Linked DNA regions of Notamacropus eugenii. The protein of the gene in region 1 interacts with the protein of each later gene in a biochemical or structural test. Links are inferred from orthologs where the notes say so. Each region holds a gene or a part of one and is shown in the gene's direction. Other genes may lie near its edges.

The links.
Region 2: of the proteins of FGA (region 1) and FAM20C, one has a biochemical effect on the other in vitro, tested with the Homo sapiens proteins (2 studies listed by IntAct). The link is inferred for Notamacropus eugenii from reciprocal best matches to the Homo sapiens genes FGA and FAM20C.
Region 3: the proteins of FGA (region 1) and PLAT form a complex in vitro, tested with the Homo sapiens proteins (2 studies listed by BioGRID). The link is inferred for Notamacropus eugenii from reciprocal best matches to the Homo sapiens genes FGA and PLAT.

What each region holds. Positions count from the first base shown.
Region 1 is NC_092877.1:153,119,348-153,126,458, reverse strand, and holds the start of FGA (fibrinogen alpha chain), read left to right. Parts: upstream 1-4,008; 5' UTR 4,009-4,064; coding exon 4,065-4,118; intron 4,119-7,111. UniProt on the Homo sapiens protein: Cleaved by the protease thrombin to yield monomers which, together with fibrinogen beta (FGB) and fibrinogen gamma (FGG), polymerize to form an insoluble fibrin matrix. Fibrin has a major function in hemostasis as one of the primary components of blood clots.
Region 2 is NC_092874.1:391,528,284-391,536,343, reverse strand, and holds the start of FAM20C (extracellular serine/threonine protein kinase FAM20C), read left to right. Parts: upstream 1-5,043; 5' UTR 5,044-5,863; coding exon 5,864-6,492; intron 6,493-8,060. UniProt on the Homo sapiens protein: Golgi serine/threonine protein kinase that phosphorylates secretory pathway proteins within Ser-x-Glu/pSer motifs and plays a key role in biomineralization of bones and teeth.
Region 3 is NC_092872.1:618,372,160-618,379,261, forward strand, and holds the start of PLAT (tissue-type plasminogen activator), read left to right. Parts: upstream 1-4,007; 5' UTR 4,008-4,196; intron 4,197-7,102. UniProt on the Homo sapiens protein: Converts the abundant, but inactive, zymogen plasminogen to plasmin by hydrolyzing a single Arg-Val bond in plasminogen.

The sequences.
Region 1 (7,111 bases):
GGCTGAAATGAGCAAACAGCAACACTGAAGTCAAGTGGAAAGAACACTGGTTCTCCTTGAGTAAGAGGAACTGGGCTCGTATTTCTCCTCCGGCACTACCTGTGTGACCTTGGTGAGCCAGTTGACTTCTCAGCCCCTGAGGATCGTTCTAGGTCAATGATGCCATGCTCCTAGAACTTTCCCCATACCTATTATTGGTGAAAATTGTATTGCAATTTCAGTACAACAGTCTTTCAGAGTTGAAAACTTGGAAAACAAATTCAGCATCTTCAGATACAACATCATACGCCTCACCTAGGACCCTTGGACACTGTTTGTGTCCACATTATGACCATCATGATTCCGTGGACTGATATATGCATCAGTACTGAAGGAGACTTTGGACTCTGTTTACCTAGAATTTTGCATTTTGAGGTCTGAGTTGAATCTAGTATCATAGACTTTTCTGTTCTGGACAGAAACTTTGAGGGTCTTTCCCTCCCAGATTGATTCTTTGCGAAGGAAAAACTAGGCCATCTTTTGTCTTAATTCCTACCTAGCCTTTTATCACTGAATGGGTGTTGCCTCAGACAAACTGAGACCTAGGAAAGACCCTAGCCTAAAAAGACCAAGATCTCTTACTACATCCTAGACCATTGATAGTTATCCGGACTTCTGTCTTACTTCTGGACTCCTATGACTCTGGAGGAGACAGTGAGGCTGATGACTTGGCATAGCTCTGCCTCACTTAAATACAATTCAAGACATCACTCTTCTGTTGCATTTGTCCTCTTCAAGAACGAAGGATGAAAAACAACCAAGTCAATTCAATTCTGCCAATATTGGCTCCCTCATCTGTGCAGTGTGGATAATGATAGTACCTACTTCACGGTTTTGTGTCTATTGGATGAAGTAATGTATATTTAAGGCAAGGTCTGGGGTCACTTTCCCAACCCATACACAACCTGAAAGGTGCAGTTCCTAGGGTATGCATAGCTGCATCTTCCCTCATTGCTAAGGGGTTGGAAGTTTTACTTTCTTTCTTTCTTTCTTTCTTTCTTTCTTTCTTTCTTTCTTTCTTTCTTTCTTTCTTTCTTTCTTTCTTTCTTTCTTTCTTCCATCCTTCCTTCCATCTTGCAACTTAGCTAAAGTTATTTATTATATCAAATAGTTCTTTTACTTGATTCTCTAGGATTCTCTAAGTATATCACCATACCGTCTGCAAAGCGTGATAGCTTTGTTTCTTCTTTGTCTATTCTAATTCCTTTAATTTCTTTTTCTTCTCTGATTGCTAAAGGTAAAGCTAATGTTTGGAGTTTCTAATGCTACTGCTTATAAGCCCCATCATCAGTTTACTTTCCCACTGATTATCAGTTGATATAAATTATTTGATCCTACTTAATTAGCTTTTAGAAATGAATATTTACTGAAGTGATATGGTAAGAATAACTGATATAAAACATCCCCTCAAACAGGGGACACATTCCTCCACAAGAACATACAAAGGTGAGGGAGAAGCGGAGTCAGGGTTGGAGAGCTTGTGTGGTAAAGAGGAAAATCACAGCTCCTAGTAAGTTGTATTGCTTTCTTTCCCCTCTAACCCCATTCTCCTTGGCAGGGTTCTGATGAAGTTCACCTAGAATATGGTCTACTCATACAGTACAGCTCCTAGAAAAGTCTGGAAATGCTCTTAATTCAGCGCTTCTGGTTTGTCCCTGCCTCCTAATCTGCATGCTACTGTCAGGAGGTCTATTCTGGGGACATTGCTAAGATGGCAATGGGATGTCCCAATCTTCTGATCTTTTGAAATTCACAAAATCATCTTCTGGCCAAGGAGGTGCAGAATATGTTCTTCATTAGCACAAAGAGCATCTACAAGGCTGAAGCCTTGGATGCTTTGTGGTATTGAAAAAAATCCAATGGAAAATAGAGTTCGGCCCGAGCATGTGAGGGACACCACTATTTCTGAAGAAAGGGGAAGAGTGGTACCTGATTTAGTTTCACAAAAAAGAACATTTCAGTGGATTTTGATTTTCAAATTTCTTCAAAAGATTATGTTACTCTGATTATGTTACACTCTGCTTTCCATTGCTCCATCTGAATAGCTGTCTGTCTGTCTATCATTTACCCCTGTTGCTCATCTCCATGAGCTCTCCATGAGGTGTCCTTAGTTACAGTGTCCCAATTCAATTCAACAACCACTTATTAAATACCTATTATGTGTGAAGTATTGGAGATACTAAGACAAAATGAAACTATTCCTGCCTCCAAAGATTTTACATATTTCTGGAGGGATATAATATATGACCAGATAAATAAATATAACATTATGAATCCAACTCCACTTCAGTAGAATTGGGTTCTCTGCAACTTTTGCTAGCTGGCACTAGAAAGTCTACCTAGGGACTTTCCAAGGATGCCATATTTAGTGAACCAAGGAAACTATGCCAAGCAGCAAGCATGATATGACCACAGCTTTAAGTCTAAGAACTTTTCAGGGACCCTGAATTCACTTCCAATTTTGGCCTTTTCTTGTGGTGTTAGAATGTTTCCTGAAAATACCCAGATGCCCATTTCTCATGCCCGACTGGTCACAGCCCTTGTGTCAAGAAATATAAGAAAGAGTAACTTCTGACCCTGACATGGTATTGATGCCCTCCAGCATCTGACTTGTGTTCAAAGGCTCACTCTTTCTACCTTCAATGAGGTGGGAGAATGAAGTATCTAGAACAATCTATAAAGCCCAGGTGGCCTTCCTCAGGGCAGTTCAAGGCTTAAGGGGAGCAGAGCCCTTGGCAAGACAGAACAGAGAAGAGTATATGGGGATAAGGGAGAGCATCTGAGTCAGGACTGAAGCAGTCAGTCAAGACGCACGATTATGCCCAGGAAAGAGAGCAAATATTTCTTAAATACCTACTATGTGCCAGGCACTATGATAAGCATTTTACAAATATTATCTCATTTGATCCTCACAGCAAAACCCATTTTGCAGATGAGAAGACAGAAACAGACAGAGGTTAAATGACATCCCCAGAGTCACACTGCTAGGAAGCGTCTGAAGCCAAATTTGAACTCAGGCCTTCCTGACTCCAGGCCTACTGCTCTATCCACTGCATTGTCTAGTTCTCTGTAGCATGGATAAGAATGACACAAGATAAAAAAATGTGAATAGATTAGAATCTGCACTAATGGAGAGAAATCCATTTCCATGAGTTCATGAACTTTCTGGAGTATTAACGTCATCAACATAATAAACATTTGTACAATACTTTACAACTGTCATCTCATTTGATCCTCCTAATAACCCTAATGAGGTGAGTAGTACAAGTGTTATTGTATTTACAGATGAGGAAAGTGAGACTCAGAGATGTAAAGAAATTTAACAAAGTGTGCGGATCTAATAGGTAGCCAAACCCAGATCTTCTGGCTCTAAAGAGAGTGCCATTTTCCTATTCTATGACTCCTCTTCTTTGGTTACCAAAATTGTTCTGGACTTAGTTCACAAAGCTAATATCAAAGCAGAGATTTGTCAAAGGTTTGCAGGATTCTTGAAATGCAGCTCACTCAGCTGGATAATTTAGGCTTCAAGGTAGGGGTTTATAGTAACCAAATTTATGAGGAGTTGTTAAACAGCCATTTGACTTCATTGTGTTGTAGAGACACTGGTAGTTCCAGTTTGAATCCTCCAGATGAGAAAGTGTGGGCATTTTCTTCCCTTTTCCCATTTGTTTTACAAAATCAACTTCTGGGTAACATTCAATTCACTCTGTTCCAGGAATATGTGTGCTTCCCAGTCCAGCCCAGTCCAGCCCACCCCCTACACCCCCAGTGCTGGTCTAAGAAGTGAATGTCACCTTTGCAACAACTTATCGGAAGCAAACAAGCTAGGAAAAGTTAAGCAACTGTTTCTGGGGCACCGAGCTGACAGGAGGAGAAGGGGATGCAGACTGTCTCTTGACCCTGTAAACATGACAAAGTCAATCATTAACTCAAACTTCTGAGGGCACTTAAATGGGAAGAAGAAAGCAGTGCAAGCTATCCTTCCAACAGAAGTTCTTTGCTATTCATTTCCACCCCCTGAGAAGATGCTTCCAGGGAGGATCTTCTGCCTGGTCCTGTGTGTAGTGGGCACTGCCTGGGTATGCTTCTCTTTATTTACTTTCTTTTTTTATTTCTATCTTCTTTCAGCTTAGCCCACAAAGACTTCCATAAGGGAGCTGCAGTTCTTGTGAGACTGGCCTGCAAACGTGAAATCATTACTATTTATCAGCTTCATAAATTTTCCTGCTTCAGACCAGTTAGAAACTTGGTGTTTCATGGCTGGGGACCCCAACTGCCAGAATGCAGTTTTCTAGATAAGCCTGACCTGTTCCTGGACAAAGGACTGGAGGAAGGACTGTAAAGATTCCAAGGGATGAATGGGAATGGGAGGGGGAGTGGAGGGAAGGTTTTGACATTCTAGTCTGGTCCAGAACAACCAAGTCTTGCAAGGATATTCGAAAAGTCAGGAAATGTCTGCCATGAATAACACCATCATGCTTAGACTCAGTAATTATAGTTAAGAATATTGGTTTTCTCAGACTTTAATGTTTAGTTTCCTACTTTTTGTTGCTTTGACAAGAAATGTTGTTTTTATAGTACTTTTTTGTAGAAATTTTTCACTGCCCTTTTTAAGGGAAATAAGTAATCTTTTAAAATATACGTATTGTGGGAAAAGAGTGTAGACACTTTGAGAATAACTTAAAATGAAGTAAGACCTAGGTTTAAGATCTTATACAATCTTTCTAGTTATACCACATGGGACAAATTTATTTAATTTCTCTGAGCCTCAGTTTCCTCATTTGTAAAAGGAGGAGAGGATAGGCTGAATCTGTGATATCCCTGGTGACTCCCTTGAGAATCAACTTCCTTTGTCACATTAGGTTTGTACCTTCTTTATAATTTATAACCTTAGACGCTTGCCTAGAGCACCAAAAGGTTAATACCTGGGGTCACAAAGGACTTGAATCAGTTCTTCTTGGCTCTCTATCCATCTCAGAATGGTATTTCTCATCCATAAAAATGAGGATAATGATGCTAATGCTGCTGGCCTGTAGTGAGAATAGAGGTTTGCAAACCTTGAAGTACCAGATAAATGTGAATTATTATTTAGTCAGAACGATGGGGAGTTGGTAAAATAGATAATGGTGTTTCAGAAGTAATGATAGTCTCATGAACTGACTATACTTTCTGAAAATTGTCAACCTTTTCTCCAGGAAATTGTCTAAATACAGAAAAGCTTCATGTGGCAATATTCCCAAAGTCTTTAAAAAAAGAAAAAAAAGTTATTATGTGTTTATCGATGAGGCACTCAACTCTCATTTATCCAAAGTCTGGTTTCTAGTGTTTCTTTCTGTTAGACAAATTCATTGCTTCTCTTTAAATGATTGGAAAAATCAGCTCTGGAGAAAGAATGGAGAGATCGGAGACGCTTAAATGAGCCAGTCAAGTTTTGCTGCTCAGTGTCTGGCTCTAGCCAAAGATGAAATAGCAGATGAAGTTGAAATTGTTAGCTAAAATGAGGCTTTGAGCAGTGGGAACTGAACATTGGATATACTGTCAGTTATAAGCTAGTTTTGCTAATCTCTCTCTCTTTCCTTTTTCCTTCTTTTCTAATATTCCCCCAAGGAGGGAGAGTTCCATGAAGTGGAATCTTGAGAATGAGAAACGAATGCCTGGTATTTTTAAAGGCATTTAAAAACTTAAGAAAGTTATAAATATAATGAGGCTTAGGTGATATACGGATTTCAATTACTCTTGCTTTCTGGGTCCTTCATTACTACAGATAATCAAGATTTGACTTTGTTGCCTTTAGATAACTTCAATTTGATGACAGGATTTTAATTGTTTCTCTGTTACTATTGTATGCAACAGACAAAAAAATCATAATGGCTTGCATCCCTTAACAAGTTCTAGGGAGCTGCCCCCAAGTTATAGGAATCAGTCTTTTTCCTGGGCATATTAAAACATTTCCAACAAAGTCCTCAAAAATTGAGTCTTAAAATAGAAATGGTGGAGCCCCACGCTTAGCTGTTACTTTTCAAAATGGAAAATCTCCATGTGAGAATTTTTCCTATCATGTTTTGAATCTGGGATCACAAATGTTATTTGTGGATCTGCTTTTAGAATTGAGTCACCCAAATAAAGTCCCACAGAGTGGCGAGCTTTTTATCCAGCTTTCACTACTCCAAAGCAGAAAATCTCAGATGAACAAAAATGTTGAAAGATGATTTTTGGACTCTGAATTGTCATGATAATCACATCTATGTCACTGGCATATGATGGATCAAGCTATAAATTCATCTTTAAAGCTTAGTAGCCTTGTGACTATGAATAAGTCATTTAACTCTTTGAGTCTCAGTTTCCATCTATAAAATCAAGATAATAGTACTTTTAGTACTTACCTCACAAAGTTGTAGTGAGGTTCAAATGATGTAATGTATGTAAAGTGATTTGTAAACTTTACAACTCTTTATAAATGCCTTCATCAATGTGGTCTTCATTAGAGGAGACTGCCTGGAGAAAGTTGGATTTGAAGGATGGATAGGGTTTGTATGAGTCAGGAAGAAGGGATATTCCAAGTGGGAGTGGGGTGGACCACAGGGATGGAGTGAACAAATACTTTGAAACAAGAGTAAGTATTGTGTTGGAGAAAAGTGAAGAGGTTGATCTGTCTGAAGTGAAGGATGTGTCTAAGAACTATAGATTAATGAGGCTGCTGGTACCTGGTGCCTGGATTTTATTTCTGAACTGGATGGTGACTTTGCCAGAGGGTGTAGAAGGGCTTGAGACACTCACCGGACTACCATTAGGATACTTCCGTAATCCACTTCCCAACTAAGCAGGAAAACATGTTGAAATGCAAGCTTACCCTTTCCAAAGCCTGTCTCTGTGTTTCTCAAGTCAGTCCACAAGATAGTATGGAACCATTCAAGTTTCTCAAAGTAGAAATAAAGACTATCTCTCCTCTCCAAAGCTTTGGCACCAGCTCCATCTCTCGCATAGTCACAAAGGGTGGCAACACCATTCTCCCCATGTTTTGCAAGCAGCATGCCACCAAGGTCACACCCTATCCCTAATTATTAATGCACAT
Region 2 (8,060 bases), on another chromosome or scaffold:
TTCATCCATGTAAATCATGAGGAATAAACAAGTGGCCTAAAGCTGTGTTATCCCCAAGTACAACCTCTGTGGCACTCAGAAGTTACATAAAGTCCCTCTAATGAAACCACACAGCTAGATGCTAACTTATTCTGAGGGAAATAAACTGCTGTGGTGCGTAAGAAAGAGGGCAGCAGGCAAGCACATATATTTTAGATTAAGAAGCACAGGCAATGACCTTTTTGGGGAGATTCCTATGGCTCCTGTCAACATCCTCAGGTACCAGGTAGTCGGGAATGCAAAAATGGAGATTACACAGACATGAAATATCCTGAAATATCTGAATAAAATGTCTGAAATTCACAGGTTAGTCACTCCTTTGGATGAATGTTTTTTTCAGCTCTGTAAAGTATAAATGGGTAGCTAGATGGGGAAGTAGATAAAATGCTGGGTTTGAAGTCATGAAGACTCATCTTCCTGAGGTGAAATCTTGTCTTAGACACGTAATAGTTGTGTGACATTGTGCAAGTCACTTGACCCTATTTTCCTCAGTTTCTTTATCTGTATAGAGAGCTGGAGAAGGAAATGGCACACTACACCATTATCTTTGCCAAGAAAACCCTAAAAGGAGTCATGAAAAGTTGGACACAACTGAAAAACAACTAAACTTGGACCACAAAATATATATCTGCTCTCTAGGAGGAGGACAGGTTAAGCCATTGAATAATAAACAGGGATGGGAAAGAACACAATATCTAGGGAGAGAGAGCTTGGGGGGCTCTAAGGGGCATCTTAGAATCCTGTAGTCTTATCAAAGGATTACTTATTTAAGGATGTAAAGATGCTGTGCCACTAGAAGAGAAGCTGCACAAAGAAAGAAGGTCAGGGTGGAGGCCCATTGGCAACATATTATCTACACCTCAAATTTTCAGGAAGTAACTAGGAATCTGATGCAATGGCTTTAAAGGTCTACCCCAAGCAACTACATATTGTAATAACATACTGTAAAAAATGTGTCCTTCATCCACTTTGCTTTTAACCTGAGTAGATTTCTAGTTCAATCTCTTTTGAGTAACCTTGGATGATATTGAGAAGGCCCTGTCATGTTTTGGGGCTCACTGCCATCAGCAAAATGTTACCCGTGAGTAGAAGCTTCTGGAAAACCTTTTCACCAATAGGGAATCTGTTCCCTATATGGACTCTAAGATACTGGCAAACGTGGGAGACTAAAAAAATCATAGTTGGGCCACTTGTTCAGGAATACCAGGGGGAAAATCTGAATTGCAAAAACCAGTTGTTGTTTTTTCAATATGGTGACCATATTTCTTCCTTGTGAGCAGATTACTACCCCAACTCTTCCAGTTTTTCCCCATTTCCCAATCAAATTTCAACTATAACAAGCTAATTTTTCTTGCTCCAATTTTCTTCACAAAGTAAAATACTTATCTTTATGGTCTTACTGGTTTGTTTGACAGTTGCAGATCTATGCTTTACATAGCCTTGATTTCACTTCTGGAAATATTTGTTTTTCATTTTCTGTTGGCTCCATATTGAGCATGGTTGCTTATTTGTAGAACTTGAGAGCTTAAAGAAACCTTCAAAGATACTTTTTCCAACCCCCTTGTTTGACAGAGGTTTGAGAGAGATGACAATATTTGTCCATTCACACATCCAATTAGTGGCAGAGCCTTTACAAATTATTCAGGTCTTCTGTCTCTGAGTCCAGTGCCCTTTTTACTACACTGTATCAGTAAGGTAACACTTCTTTTTATATAATGATTTCTATATTCTTGCTCTGGCCATAGATAGCCAACTCTTGCTTAGACACAATTATGATCATATACAATTACATATGCACTATATAGGATCATAGACTTAAAACTGGAGGGGACTCCAGAAGCTGTCTTGAGTCCTAGGGAAGTTAAGTGACAGACCCAAGACCACACTGGTAGGGACAGAGGTGGGATTTGAACCCAGGACCTCAGCCTCCACAGCCAGTGCTCTTTCCAATATGCCTCAAAAATCCCAAACAAAGGCTAATGCATTTCAAAACCACAAAACAAATTGTTTCATTTTGAATATTTATTTCCCAAGGAGACAATATCTTTGCTAAGTTTAATGTTAAGATTAATTTGTATTCCCTAAGCAAATGCTACCCGATAGAAAGGAGAGGTGGCCCAAAAGCATTCTGAGAGATGGGAAGAAGCCTCTTGAAGTCCTTCTTCTTCCCCACTGGCCCTCATAGCTAATCCAAAAATCAAGGTAGTGTGGCGTTGGGAAAAGATTGTTGGATTTGGAATCAGGAACTGATAGTATACCAGCTCTAACACTGTGTGCCTATAGGCAAGTCCCTTTATCTTTTTGTGTCTCAATTTCTTCATCTATGAAATGGGTGTGACAGTCTTTGTTCTTCTCTGGGTGTTGTTGTGAGTAGAGGCAGAGTAATATAGTCAGCCAGTCGGTCAACAAGCATTTATTTAGAGGTTACTCCCTACCAGGAATTATGCTGTGTTGGAGATATAAAGAAAGATTTAAAAGAAAAAAAAAAAACGTTGTCCCTATTATCAATGAACTCACATTCTGACAGGGGCAAATAACTTTGTACCCGTAGATTACAGACTACATCCAGATTAAATGGAACATATTCTCAAAAGAAAGGAAGGGAGGGTGGGGTAAGTGAAAAGGAAAGGGAAGATGAGAAAGGCCTTCTTCAGAATGTAGAAAGAGTCCTGGCTCTGTGGTTACAAGGCTCAAGTTTGAATTTTGGAGTTTTTTCTATCTGTCACATAGCATGAACTTGGAAGAGTTATTTTGCTTCTCCTGGTCTCAGTTTCCTCATCTGCAAAATAAGGAGGTTGGACTAGGGCATGGTCCTTAGCCCTTTTTCTGTCGTTGACTCCTTTGGTGAACCCTGAGGACCCCTTCTCAGAATATTTTTACAAGCATAAAAGGACTAGGAGGAAAGACAATTATTTTGAAATATAATTATCAAAATATTTTTTGAAAGACAAGTTCAATATTTGTGCTACCTAACTCATACGGCTGATGTAAGCTATTACATTATTATTAACATTATTATTAATGTTATATTGTATAACATGACAGTATAATATAAGCAGCTACATTATCATTAGTATAATATTATATTATTAACATGACCATGTAATAGAAACAGTTACGTTTTTAGTACATTATATTAGTAATGACTGATGGCAAGTAGTTATGTTATTAATATATTATGCTATATAATTAATATAACCACATAAGTCAATAAGCATTTAGTAAATGCTTACTGTGTGCATAGCAGGAAAATAAATGAAAAGATCTCAAAATGTTAGGTGAGTGCTCTAATAAAATAGGTTCTTAACCTGAAGTTCGTGAACTTGTGTTTTTAATTTTAATAACTGTTTCAGAATAATTGGCTTCCTTTGTAATCATAAGTATTTTTATTTTTAATACATTTGAAAACCTTTTTCAAAGAAGAGGTCGATAAGATTCGCCAGACGGACATGGTGGAGAGATGAGGGAGGTGGTCCACAGCACGCAGAAAGGTTAACAGCCCGAGTCCCATACAGCGATTCCATCCCAAAGTGGGCAAACCGACAGCGGAAGAGTTCCAGCTGCATACGTCGTTTTAATCCAACTTTAAGAACCAGGTGCTTCAAGGGTTAAAGACAGGGCTGCCCGCAGCCTGGGTCCTGTTCTCATTTTGTGAGTTGTAACTGAGTCCAAAGCTGAGGATTAGCCAACGCTCCTTCCCAAGGCCTCGGCAGTCTGGCATCTCATCTGCGTGGCAAAAAATAAAAAAATAAAAATCAGAAAACACTCCCAGTTAAGGGAGTTTCAGCATCAAAGCCACGGGCAACAACACGAACACGGACACAGAGAGACACACACAGACACAGACACAGAGACACACACACAGACACACAGACACACACACAGACACACACAGACACACACACACAGACACACAGACACACACAGACACAGACACACACACACACACACAGACACACACACACCCGCCTATTTGATCTCCAATCTCCCCCTCAACCTCCCCCACCCTGCTCCCTGCCGGACCGAGAATAGGGTCAGTGCCCTGATCTCATTTTTCACTAGGGCGTTATCTACTGAGCTGGAATCCGCCCCGGCAGCACGAGTCTATCCCAAATCCTCATACTCGGCACCCGCTGCTTCTTGGGGGGGGGGGGCGCGTTCACTTTATATTTTTACCTTTTGTTGTCGATTTAGGAGACGCTTGTAAAAGGGGAAGAGAAGACGGGGCGGGGGTGAAAACAAGAAATAGACATTCTCTCCTCCCTACTCCCCCTCCCCCCCCCCCCAAAGAAAGGAAAAGCCGTCTCCTGCCCAGACAATGACATAGCAGAATTCCTGTTTCCCCTAGTCTAGGCAGTCAGACTGCTGTAATACTTTGCAAGGCTATCAGCCTGGGGTTCCTTTTCTCTCTTTCTCTTTTTGCAAACCTTTGAGAAAAAGGCGCCCTCTCCTTGCCCTGCTAGGAGCTGCAGAGAAATGGAGGGGTGAGGCCAGGGCGGGAGGAGGGGGAGAAGGAGCAGCGAAAAAAAGGGAAAGAGAGAGCTTTGCTTTCTTGGTGGAGGCTTTCCTGTTACTATCACTGTAGCGTTTTTTTAGCCAATCTCTTCCCTATGACGTCTGGGAGGCTGGATTCATGGCTTGCACATAATATTTAACACACCCACCGAGAAGTGGAGCTGCAGCAGTACTAGCCCAGTCAGTCTCCAGCATGCAGTGTAGCTGAAAGGGGGCATTCACACTGCACCTGCCCAAAGCTCTGTTCTCTCCTCTCCGAGGTTGGCTTTCTCTTCCTCGCTTCGCCCTTTCCCCTTCTCCCCACCCCCCTCTTCTCTCAGGGCAGAAATGTAAGTCTGAGCCGAGATCCAAGGAGAGACATCATCTCCCCCCCTCCCCACCCTTTTCCCCTCCCCACCCCTCGGCAGAGCAGCTACCGATTCCTGGGAGCGTCGCCTTCCCTCCCTTCCCAGCGTCCCCCCCTCCCCCCCAGCTCCGTGCGTCCTTTGTGCCAGCTCTCCTTTTCGCCTTGGCGGCCGTGTCAACGCCGAACCGTGCAAGTGCCTGGATATCGAGCTTCAGCGCCGCGGGTTCGAGCCCAACCAGCCGGGACTCTGGCTTCCCCGGGGCGCTGGAGGTGGTGGTGGTGGATGGAAGGATTTGGAAATCTTATAAGCGCAGCCTTTGCAAGCCAATGTTTGTAACCGGGCTGCGGACGAGAGCGCGTCCCGTTGCTTCTCCTCCTGCTGCATCGCGGGTCCCTTTCCAGAGGATGGGAAGACGCGTCTTCTCTAAGCACTATGGATGATTCTTTTTTCCTCTCCTGAATTCTTCACTGGGTGCTGCATGTGTGTGTTTGTGCGTGCTTTTTATTTTTAACCCCCATCCTTTTTTTTTCTTTCCCTTTAGTCGTCCTCCATCTCCATCCTCCTTTCGGAGTGGGGGGGGGGAACCTCCCTGAGATCCATGTATTAGGCAGAGTAATGATAATAATAAAAGAACAGTTTCTAGATGGCACGCTTTGGGGAATTTTTTGGCAGTTTTTTTTCTAAAAACAAAAAAGGGAGGTAGTGAAGACTCTTGGCTTCTAAGTGTATTTATTTTTTAACTGTCTTATGAAGATAACTTTATTGACTTTAATTGTTTGATTTGTCCATGAGTAGAACAGAATTATTTTTTTAAAAGCTTTTTCTGTGAAAAAGCCTCTCCCACCCACCATTACGAACCCCTCCTCCCCCACCCCTCCATACACACTTTTAGCTATTTAAAACTCTTAATTTATTAGTCTCCTCCTCGTGGCAACCCCCAGTCTCTCTAAGTCTCCTTGGCCATGAAAATGATCTTGGTCCGCAAATTCCGGGTGCTCATCCTCATGGTGTTTTTGATTGCCTGCACCATGCACATCGTGATCGATCTGTTACCAAAGTTGGAGAAGCGCGCGGCTAGGAGTGATGGGGACCCCGGCTGCTCCTGCTCTCACCCCCCGAGCGAGGAAGCGCAAGGCTGGGGGAAGCAGAGGACTAAGAGCGGGGCTGATTCGGGCTGGCCTAACAAACACACCCTGCGGATCCTGCAGGACTTCAGCAGCGACCCGAGCTCCAACCTCACCTCCCACTCGCTCGAGAAGCTCCCCGGGACCGGAACAGGGACCGGCGCCGGGGCCGGGGCCGGGACAGCGGCAGCCGCGGACAGGTCCGAGGCAGCGGCGGCGGCGTTCAAGAGGCTGGAGCCCGGCGGTGGCGGAGGCGGAGTGCAGCGAGGTCTCCCCCACAAACACCTCATCCAAGATGGGAGTAGGGCGAGCAAAGTGCCGCTGGGGAAGGACGGCTCCAAGCTGGTAGCCCTGTTCCAACACCCTCTCTATAATATCGCCATTCCGCCTCTCACAGAGGACGATGTCTTGTTCAACGTGGAGAGCGATATTCGCTTTAACCCCAAAGCGGCTGAAAATCAGGAATGGTGAGTGGAGTGATAGAGGAAGGGACAATGTTTCTGTGGCCGCAGCTGGAAAGAACACCAGGGAACCCTTAGGCGTTGAGGAGAGGGGTGGTTTCTTTGGAGGGACGGTAGAGAGGCACTGGGGGTGGGGGAGTGGGGGACGAGACGGGGAGGATGCTTCCTAAAATTCACTCTCAAGTTTTGCCATACATTACTAGCACAATTAGAATTTTCCTTTTAAAGTCCTAAAGGGGCTGAGGGTGAGGGTGGGATGAGGGTGAGGAGGACTGAATTCTACGGAATTGCGGACATCACTAAAAGGGGCTCAATTCATCCTAGTCAGAGCCATCAAGACCTGAAATGAAAATTATCTTAGTGATTCTACCCAGCCAGGGTTAGAGATACCCTGGTGTCTTAAGTCCAGAATGTTTTTTGGGGGCTAGGAGAAAGTGAGATCTTATGTAGAAGATCTTCCCTAAATACAGTTCTTACTGATCTGAAAATTAAATACATAAACAAATAGCCCCTATTTACCACATCTCACTTAGAAAGCATTTGTGGTTGATGCTTTAAATAAGGTTGAAACCTTATTTGCCCTGAGAATGATTTCCTGGTGGGTCTCAGACGTGCCTCACGAATCTTTTAAAACCAATCATTGAGAATAAAATAAACTTGTCCAATGGACAAGGGAAGCAAATGAGATCACCAGAAGTGATTCTTTGGCGGAAGACTGACAATTGCCCCTTGAACTCATCTGAGCTGAGACTGTAGGGAAGGCTTTATGTGACTCTCAGGTGATGATCAGGGCCACTGTAGATCTATCCCTCAGAGTGGACCACCTTCTAAAAATGGCCTGATCTAAGCCCTCTCTCCCTTCTTCCCTTCTTCCCAACTTCCCAGATCAAAATAAACACACAGATGTTGTAACCCAGAGTAGTGAAATATTAACTCCCTCCAAGGCCGGAGAAAGTAACTGTCAACCAGTATTTTATATAATAACCTCCTCAATGAACAGATGGTAAGAAAACTTCAAGATGTTAATGTCTGACAATATCCCTTCTCCCTCAACATATAGGTTGTCTTTCCTACCTCCACCACCTTCAGGCTTTGAGGAGCTTATCCAATCCCTACCCCTACCAATTCCTTCCCCCCATCCCACCCCAGTATAACTCCTTTCCCCCCACCCCCACCCCTAGCATTTAGTAGGCTCTGTACTCTGCCTTCCCCATTGATTTTTAAAGGGAAAGCCTGAACATTTGAAGGGGATGGGGAGGAAAGATATTCAGAGTCTTGTGGCCAATACAACAGCACCCTCTCTCCCACTCAGGGACATTGTTCAGGCCTCTGTCACTGCTTGGTACATACAATAAGTATGAGACAAGCTGCAAGAGAACAGTCACTCTGATTTCTGTCTTCCATCCCCTTCCCTTTTCCATTGTGGGTTTGGGTTTGCAGAACAGAAATCATCTGGAAGGGGTGACCTTTTGGGCCCCAAGTTAACCGTCACTTAGGAAAGTTCCTTTTTCTTCCCTTGACTCAGCTTCATGCTGCAGTCAGAGGACTAGCCACAGTGACCCTATGTACCACTG
Region 3 (7,102 bases), on another chromosome or scaffold:
TTAGGGATTAAATATAGACAGAGAAAGAAAGTTATTTTTTTTTTGCAGATGATATGATTTTCTTAGAGAACTAGAGAGTCAACAGAAAACTAATTGGAATAATAACTTCAGAAGAGTTGCAGGACAAGATAAAATCAGTGTAATATATGATGAGTGCACAAGACAATAACAAAATAGTTTATGACATCTGAGGTAGAAGGAGGAATTTCCATCTGGTAGAATCAGAGAAGTATTCTTAGAGGAGGAAGCATTTGAGCAGGGATTCAAAGTACAGGTAGGATTGCAACAGACAAAGATGAAGGAAGAATTTTCCAGGAGCTGGGAGGGTATGAGCAAAGACACAGAGCAGGCACAGCATGGTGTGTGTACAGAAGATGGTGAGCAACCTGTTTCATCTGTATCAAAGACAGGAGTGTGCTAGATCTTATTATTATATTATTATTAAAATATCAAAGTGAGATTAATACCTTAGAAATCACTACAAACCAAGTCTTGATTTCGTTTTATTGATTTAATAGACTTAAGAAAGTGATAAAGAAAATGTTAATAATACAAATTAAATTTGAAAGTATGTCCTGCTACAGCTAGGTAGCATAGTGGAGAAAGCACCAGCTTTGGAGTCAGGAGGACCTGAGTTCAAATCCAACCTCAGACACTTGACAGTTACTAATTTTGTAACCCTGGGCAAGTCACTTAACCCCACTTACCCCACCCCCAAAGTGTGCCCTGTATACATTTTTTTGAGAACCAGTTGTCAAGCATTTACCAGCACAATCCTGAATAAGGTACTTAAAGGAGAGCAGATTGAAATAAACCAGGAAAGGGAAAGATGGTGCCAGCTCATGGTAGTCCCTAAAGGGATTAAGGGACTTGAACTTTATTTGTAGACAATAGTAATTCCTGACACTTATATTTAAGGTTTGCAAAGTGCCTCCTACGTGTTATCCCCCAATCTTATGAGGTAGGTATCAGAAGTATTATTACTCCTGTTTATAAGATGAAGACACAGAGTTAAGAAAGTTTAAATAATTTGATCATGGACATGCTACTAGTAAATGTCAGAGGTAATAATGAAACCCAGGTCTCCCTAACTCCAAGTCTAATGTACTTTCTATAGCATCATGTTCCGTGAATGGTTTTAAACACAGGAGTAACCTGATCAGAAAAGTATTAACCTGGCAGGGATGGAAAGAATGGAATGGAAAAAGCAGAGGTGGGAAGATAGAAAGCAATATTATTTTACACAGTAGATAGTAGCCTTAGGGGATTTGACACCTTGAAGCAGACGTGCATATTGAAAATATAAATAAGTTCATGAGAGGATCCTTGCTAACAAAGTGGCCATCCAGCTTCCATTGGAAAACCTTCACTGATGAGGAACTCACTACCTTTAACACTGCCTATTCTGCCACTTCTGGACAACTCTAATCATTAAAAAGTTTTCCTTCTTATGAAGTCTAAATCTGCCTACTGTAACTTCTACTTATTGGTCTTAATTTTGTTTTCAAGGATCTAATATGATCCCTCTTCCTTGTTTGTCACTGGTCTGGATAAAGATTTAGGAAAATCCATGCTAGAAAGATACTAAGGAGATTTCAGAACCATAAAGATCCATTCCCCTCAACACCATTGACTACCAGAATATACTCCATAAACTTTGAAGTCAAACGCTCTTTTCCCTCTTCCTTTTCTGTCTTAAGCCACCTTGTCTCAGCCCCCTTGGTTTACCCACTTCTCTCCTTCAGGTTGCAGTAGACATGATGTCATTTCTTTTTCGGATGATTAGGGTCTGATTTTAGTTCTCCTTTCTAATGCCATGTCCTGTTGCCTATTTAATTGATAATTGGGGCCCATCACTGTTAGTTGTTCCCCACGATGTTGCTCTGAGACTATGACTCATGGGACCTGTGGAGAGGAAGGTCATGGAACCACAGAAACAGTGCCAAACTTGGGAACTCTTGAGAGAGCACTTCCTTGCCAGCTATCCTTTGTCCCAGCACTCCTTAGGATTCTATTTGGTCTTGTTCATAAAATTATCCTTGATTATTTGAAATATGTATTGTCTGACTCTGGAAAAATCATTCTTTCTCACTGGGGATTTGTTTTCAAGGTCACAGAGGCCAGGAAGGGGCTATGTCGACATCCTGCAAATCACATATAGAGTAGACACCTGGTTCCTATCATTTTTAACCTCTTTTCTGTGTACTTTTGCTTTCCTCCCACATACTCTGTCATTCCCCAAAAAAAATTTTTTAAAAAAGATCTGTAATTTCGCTAGTAAGCAATAACACACACACAAAAAGGTTTTTTAAAAGTGAAATTCCCATAGACTGTGATTGAATTAGGCTTAATTTTCATTTTTTTCTTCTCGTCTCTCCTTCTTTGTCACAATTAAAAGCAGGATTCATTTCTATTAATCCAGTAGCTAATAATTCAGTATTATTCTAAAGTGCTCCTGGAATTCTGCTGGGGGTAGGGAAAACCATCTCATATTCATTGGAATGTGAGTAATTCCCTTTCCTGATTTAGCCAACAGAGCTGCTCGGAGATCTGCATGAGCAGCATCTGGTAAATTCAATTGCACAAACATTTAATGAACAACTTACGAGTGTGAGCACGGTGCTAGGCCCTGGAGGGGGAGATACAAGCTTTAGATGAGATGTAGTCCCTGCCTTCATCAAACTTATAGATTTGTAGAGTCAATCATAATACTCTAAATAACATGATAGTATAAGATAAGGTGCTATGAGGAGTCTCAGACAGAAAGTTGTTGCTAGCTTCATGGTGCATTTAAGTTGGGTTCTGGTAAGATAGGTAGATCTTCAGCAACTGAAGAAGGGGAGGGGAAGGCATTCTGAGCATAGGGAAAACCATGAACCTTGTCTGGAAGCTATTAGAGAATAGGTCAATTTGTCTGGAGTGTAGAGGTGTGGAGGGGAGTTATCAAATAAAGCTAAAATGATGGTCAAGGGTCAGATTGTGAAGGACCTTGAAGGTCAGTTCTTCTAATTGCTGAAATGCTAATTGTTAAGTCACTTAATAGATAATATTCTCTCCTGTGAAAAGCTCATCATAGCTCACTTCGGATGGCTGCTCCAGCTTGCTAAACACCTTCTATTCCAAGGTGCCCCCTTTTCATGATGGCTCTTTACAAGCAGATCTTGCCAAATGGGCAAAGAAGTCTGCCGTTGACAATTTTTTTTTATCCTTTTATCTCTCCTATGTCTCTTTTCAGGGTTCCTCTCCCTGAGCCCACAACTATGGTCTCTTTCCAGTACTGGTACAGGCCCCTTTAGGGTATTGGCTGATAACCAGATAACCTAATCCCAGAGGTATTCACATTTTTAATGTGAAATTCTGGAAAATTGAAAAGCCGCCAAGAACAAATAGAATAACTCAAAGGGTGGCATTTTAGGCACTATGACAGATGGTGGGAGACACTTTGGGGTGGGGACCTTGCTTTAGTCGTAGGTGACTGGCAGTGTGGTGTAATGGAAAGAACACTAGGCTTGGGTGGTCCTGCCCTCTGAGTAACCTTGGGCAAGTAATTTCCTGCCTCTGGACATCAGTTTCCTCCTCTGCCAAATAAGATGATTGGGCTAGATGACCTCTAAGGTCCCCTCCAGTCTATGACTCTATGGCAGGACAACATTTCCCAGTTGTCATCTGACCATTGCCTGCCCCTCCTCTCGGTGGTCTCATCCCTTGGCTCCATCTGGCCTTGCTTGCTATCCTATCCTTGAATTGGTGGGCCTAAACCTGTCCAACCCTCCACCACATGTCAGTGGAGGCCAGGTAACTGCAGTGGGACCCCAGGTCTGGACAAAGAAACTTCCCAGCACTTGTTTATTTATATACTTACTTAGAAATCCAAGTGTGTCTTTACAAAATCAAACCCAGTGAATAATACAGACTGGCCCAAGGCCAGACAGAGCAGGCTAGGTTGGCTATCTCATACTTCCTCCCCCTCCTTAGCAATAAAAGCAGGCCCGCCCCAGCTTGCCTCCATCTCTCCAGCCTCTCCACTGGGCATTCTCCTAGAGGGGAGAAACACGCCCACTCCATGCAACAGACCCCACCTCTGTCACTGGAATTTAAAGGAGCCGGGAGCTGTTCAGGGAACTCAGAGCTGAGATTCAGCCACGAGCCTGGAACTTGGCAGAAAGTCCTTGGAGAGGTACAGGAGACCAGGAGAGGTAGGTCTTATGTATTACATATCCACTGTCTGTTAGCTGGGCTCCTCTTTTCCCTTTGCTAGGCATCCCGAGGAAACCCCAACAATAAAGGGATTTCTGAAAGTTAGTATTAGCTTTGCACTGTGGATAGAAGGAGGCTGAAGTGGGACCTCTTTCATACAGCTCTCACCATTTGCCCTGGGGCTTACTTAATGCAGTGTTGGGGCCATAGTAGGGGTAATAGAGAGTGCTGTTTACATTAGGAAGGAAGGAAGGAAGGGAGATAAAGAGAGAAAAGAAGAAAGAAGGGATGAAAGAAGAAAGAAGCACAAAGCCAGTCCACAACTTTCCAGTAGTTCTGTGGCATGGGTAGGAGAGTTTAATAGGTATAACCCTTGGAGAAGAAGCCTCTGATATGCAGAGTCAGGAAAAAGTGAAAAGCAGTTTGCAAAAATGATGTGCAAACACTTGATGACTAATGAACCTGAAGTCATCTTCCTCCGGGACATTAACATGATGCCAGTTTACCTGCCTGATACTGGCTGGGTGTCTCCTAATTAGCAGAAGGAATTGGAAGGTAAAGGGGGAAGGTGAACATCTCTTTTGCATGATTGGAGTTTCCTGCTGAGGTGTGCTAGGTAGGGGAGTGAGGGGGTTGGGAGTGGAGGGGTGGGCAGGAGAAGTGATCTGTACACACAAAGACCTCTGGGCTCGTTCCCCAGATTTCCTCCTCATGTTCCCTCCTTTTTGTCTCCAACTTTCTTACCTGGATGATGATAGACAGGGTACTTTAAGGATTTCTCTCTCTAATTGTGGAAAAAAAAATAAGCTGAATAGCCTTTAATCATATAGCACTTACCCCCTGGAAGCCTATAAGCCTCTCTAGATTTTCACTCCTGTAATCTTTCATTTTCTTAACCTCCCAAGGAGGAAAGGAGGCAAACATACCTCAGTCCTCAGACCACTGGTGGCGAACAGCATGAAGGAGAACAGTGGTTCAAGTGGTTCTAAGGTCAAACAGTTAACTTGGTGGTAGATCTGGACTGCCAGCTGAGGTCTCCTGACTACTTGATAACAGCTCAAGCCACTAATGTGGTCTTTCATTCATTCTCTTCCAAAGAAAAAAAAAACAAAAAAAGAGGAACAGGAGAAAAGGAAATAGTCTGCTAATAGTTTTTTATATTTTCAACCCAGTGAAGAATACTCTCCCATTCCCATGGATATTTGGGGGCATCTGAGGATCTAGACATTTGGAAGGTCTTGAATCAATATGTGAACACTTAGCTTAAAAAAAATGCTTCCTATTGGTGCATTAGTCAGGACACCTTGGCTATTGAATTATAAATAGCACCTTTCCTCCCTTCGGTGTGGGCTAGCCTTCCTTTTCAAAGATTCCAGCTTTAGAGTCTCAGAAATTTAACCCAAGCAAATAGTAGCTTTCTTTAGCCCACACTGCTCCTTCTTAGTCCTGTCTCCCCTAGGCCATTTCAGTTTATCTCCAAATGCCTGGAGCCAGTTTCTCTCGATACTCGAGATAATTTCTCTTTTGTAAGTCTGGCCTTGGTGGAAGTGATCTGTGCTCCTCTGGGACGTGGTGCAGTATCATCTGAGATAGAGAGATGCAGCTTCGAGAGCATGAAACATAGACACGGCCAGGCACTGCAGAACTTTAGGAAGTCTGACTCACCACCTTGTAAATTCCTGTTGGTCAGAGGAGCCTTACTGAGTAAATGAATGTTGATTAGTTGAGCAGATTATAATAGTGCTATCAGCTCTCTCATCTGGTGTTTAAGTACGATCAGCTAAAGTCAAGTCTACATGAGGCCAAACATCTGGGGGAAAACTGAAGAAAGAGATTAATTCTATAATTAGATTCAATGTATTTATTAAACATCAGGTTGAAATGTACAGCAAACAGTTGTTGATGAAATATTGGAACTCAGGAGAGAGTGATGAGGGCTGGATATGTAAATTTGGAAGTCATCTGTACAGAGATGATCTTTGCATCCACAGATAATGTTGTGATCACCAAGACAGAGAGTGTAGAGAGAGAAAAAGCACAGGACAAAGCCCTGGGGTACACTCATTGATAATAGGTGCGTGCTGCCAAATGCCAGCCTGCTCTCCTCAACCACCAAAAAATGTATCTGGCCCCTTCCCCTACCTGAAGGCTTTCAGTTTCTAGCCTGCTCAGAATGGATAGGTGACTTGTCCAAGGTCATCTAGGTTGTAAATATCCTAGCCAGGATTTGAACCCAGTTTGCCTGACTGCAAAGCTTATGTTCTTTCCGTTATTATTCCTCAAGATCAGTACTTGGTCCTGTGCTGATCCACATTTTTATCAGTGACTTCAATGAAGCTTAACAAGTTTATGAAATTTTCAAAGAGCACAAGACTTGGAAAGCATTAGAAAACTCTGTAGAAGCTAGAGCAGTTTAGTCAGTCATTAGTCAATAAACATTTATTAAGTGCCTACTGTGAACTGTGCTAAGCACTAGAACATTGGGCCAAATCTAACAAAATTACATTTAATTGGGATGAGTCAGGTTTAGAAAATTAAGTCTACAAGGACAAAATAAGGGTGTCATGACTAGGCAGCAATTTGTTTGAATAAAATCTGAGGATTTTAGTGGAATGTAAAGCTCTGTATGAGTCAATAGGGTTATATAGGGAAAAAAGTAAATAAGTGGTAGCAAGCGTGCATTTTTAGTGCAATGGGCATTAAAAAAAAACAAAACTTGTATAATCTGGGGTCAAACTAAGAGATGCAGAACTAGGGATGTGATGAGTCCTGCCATATGCCACCTTAGTAAGACCATACTCGAGGTGTTGCATTTAGTTCTAGACATTTTAGGTAGCCAACCAGGATGGCAAAGAACCTTGAGATCGTGCTGTAAAAAGACTGACTGAAGGAAGTGGAGATGTTT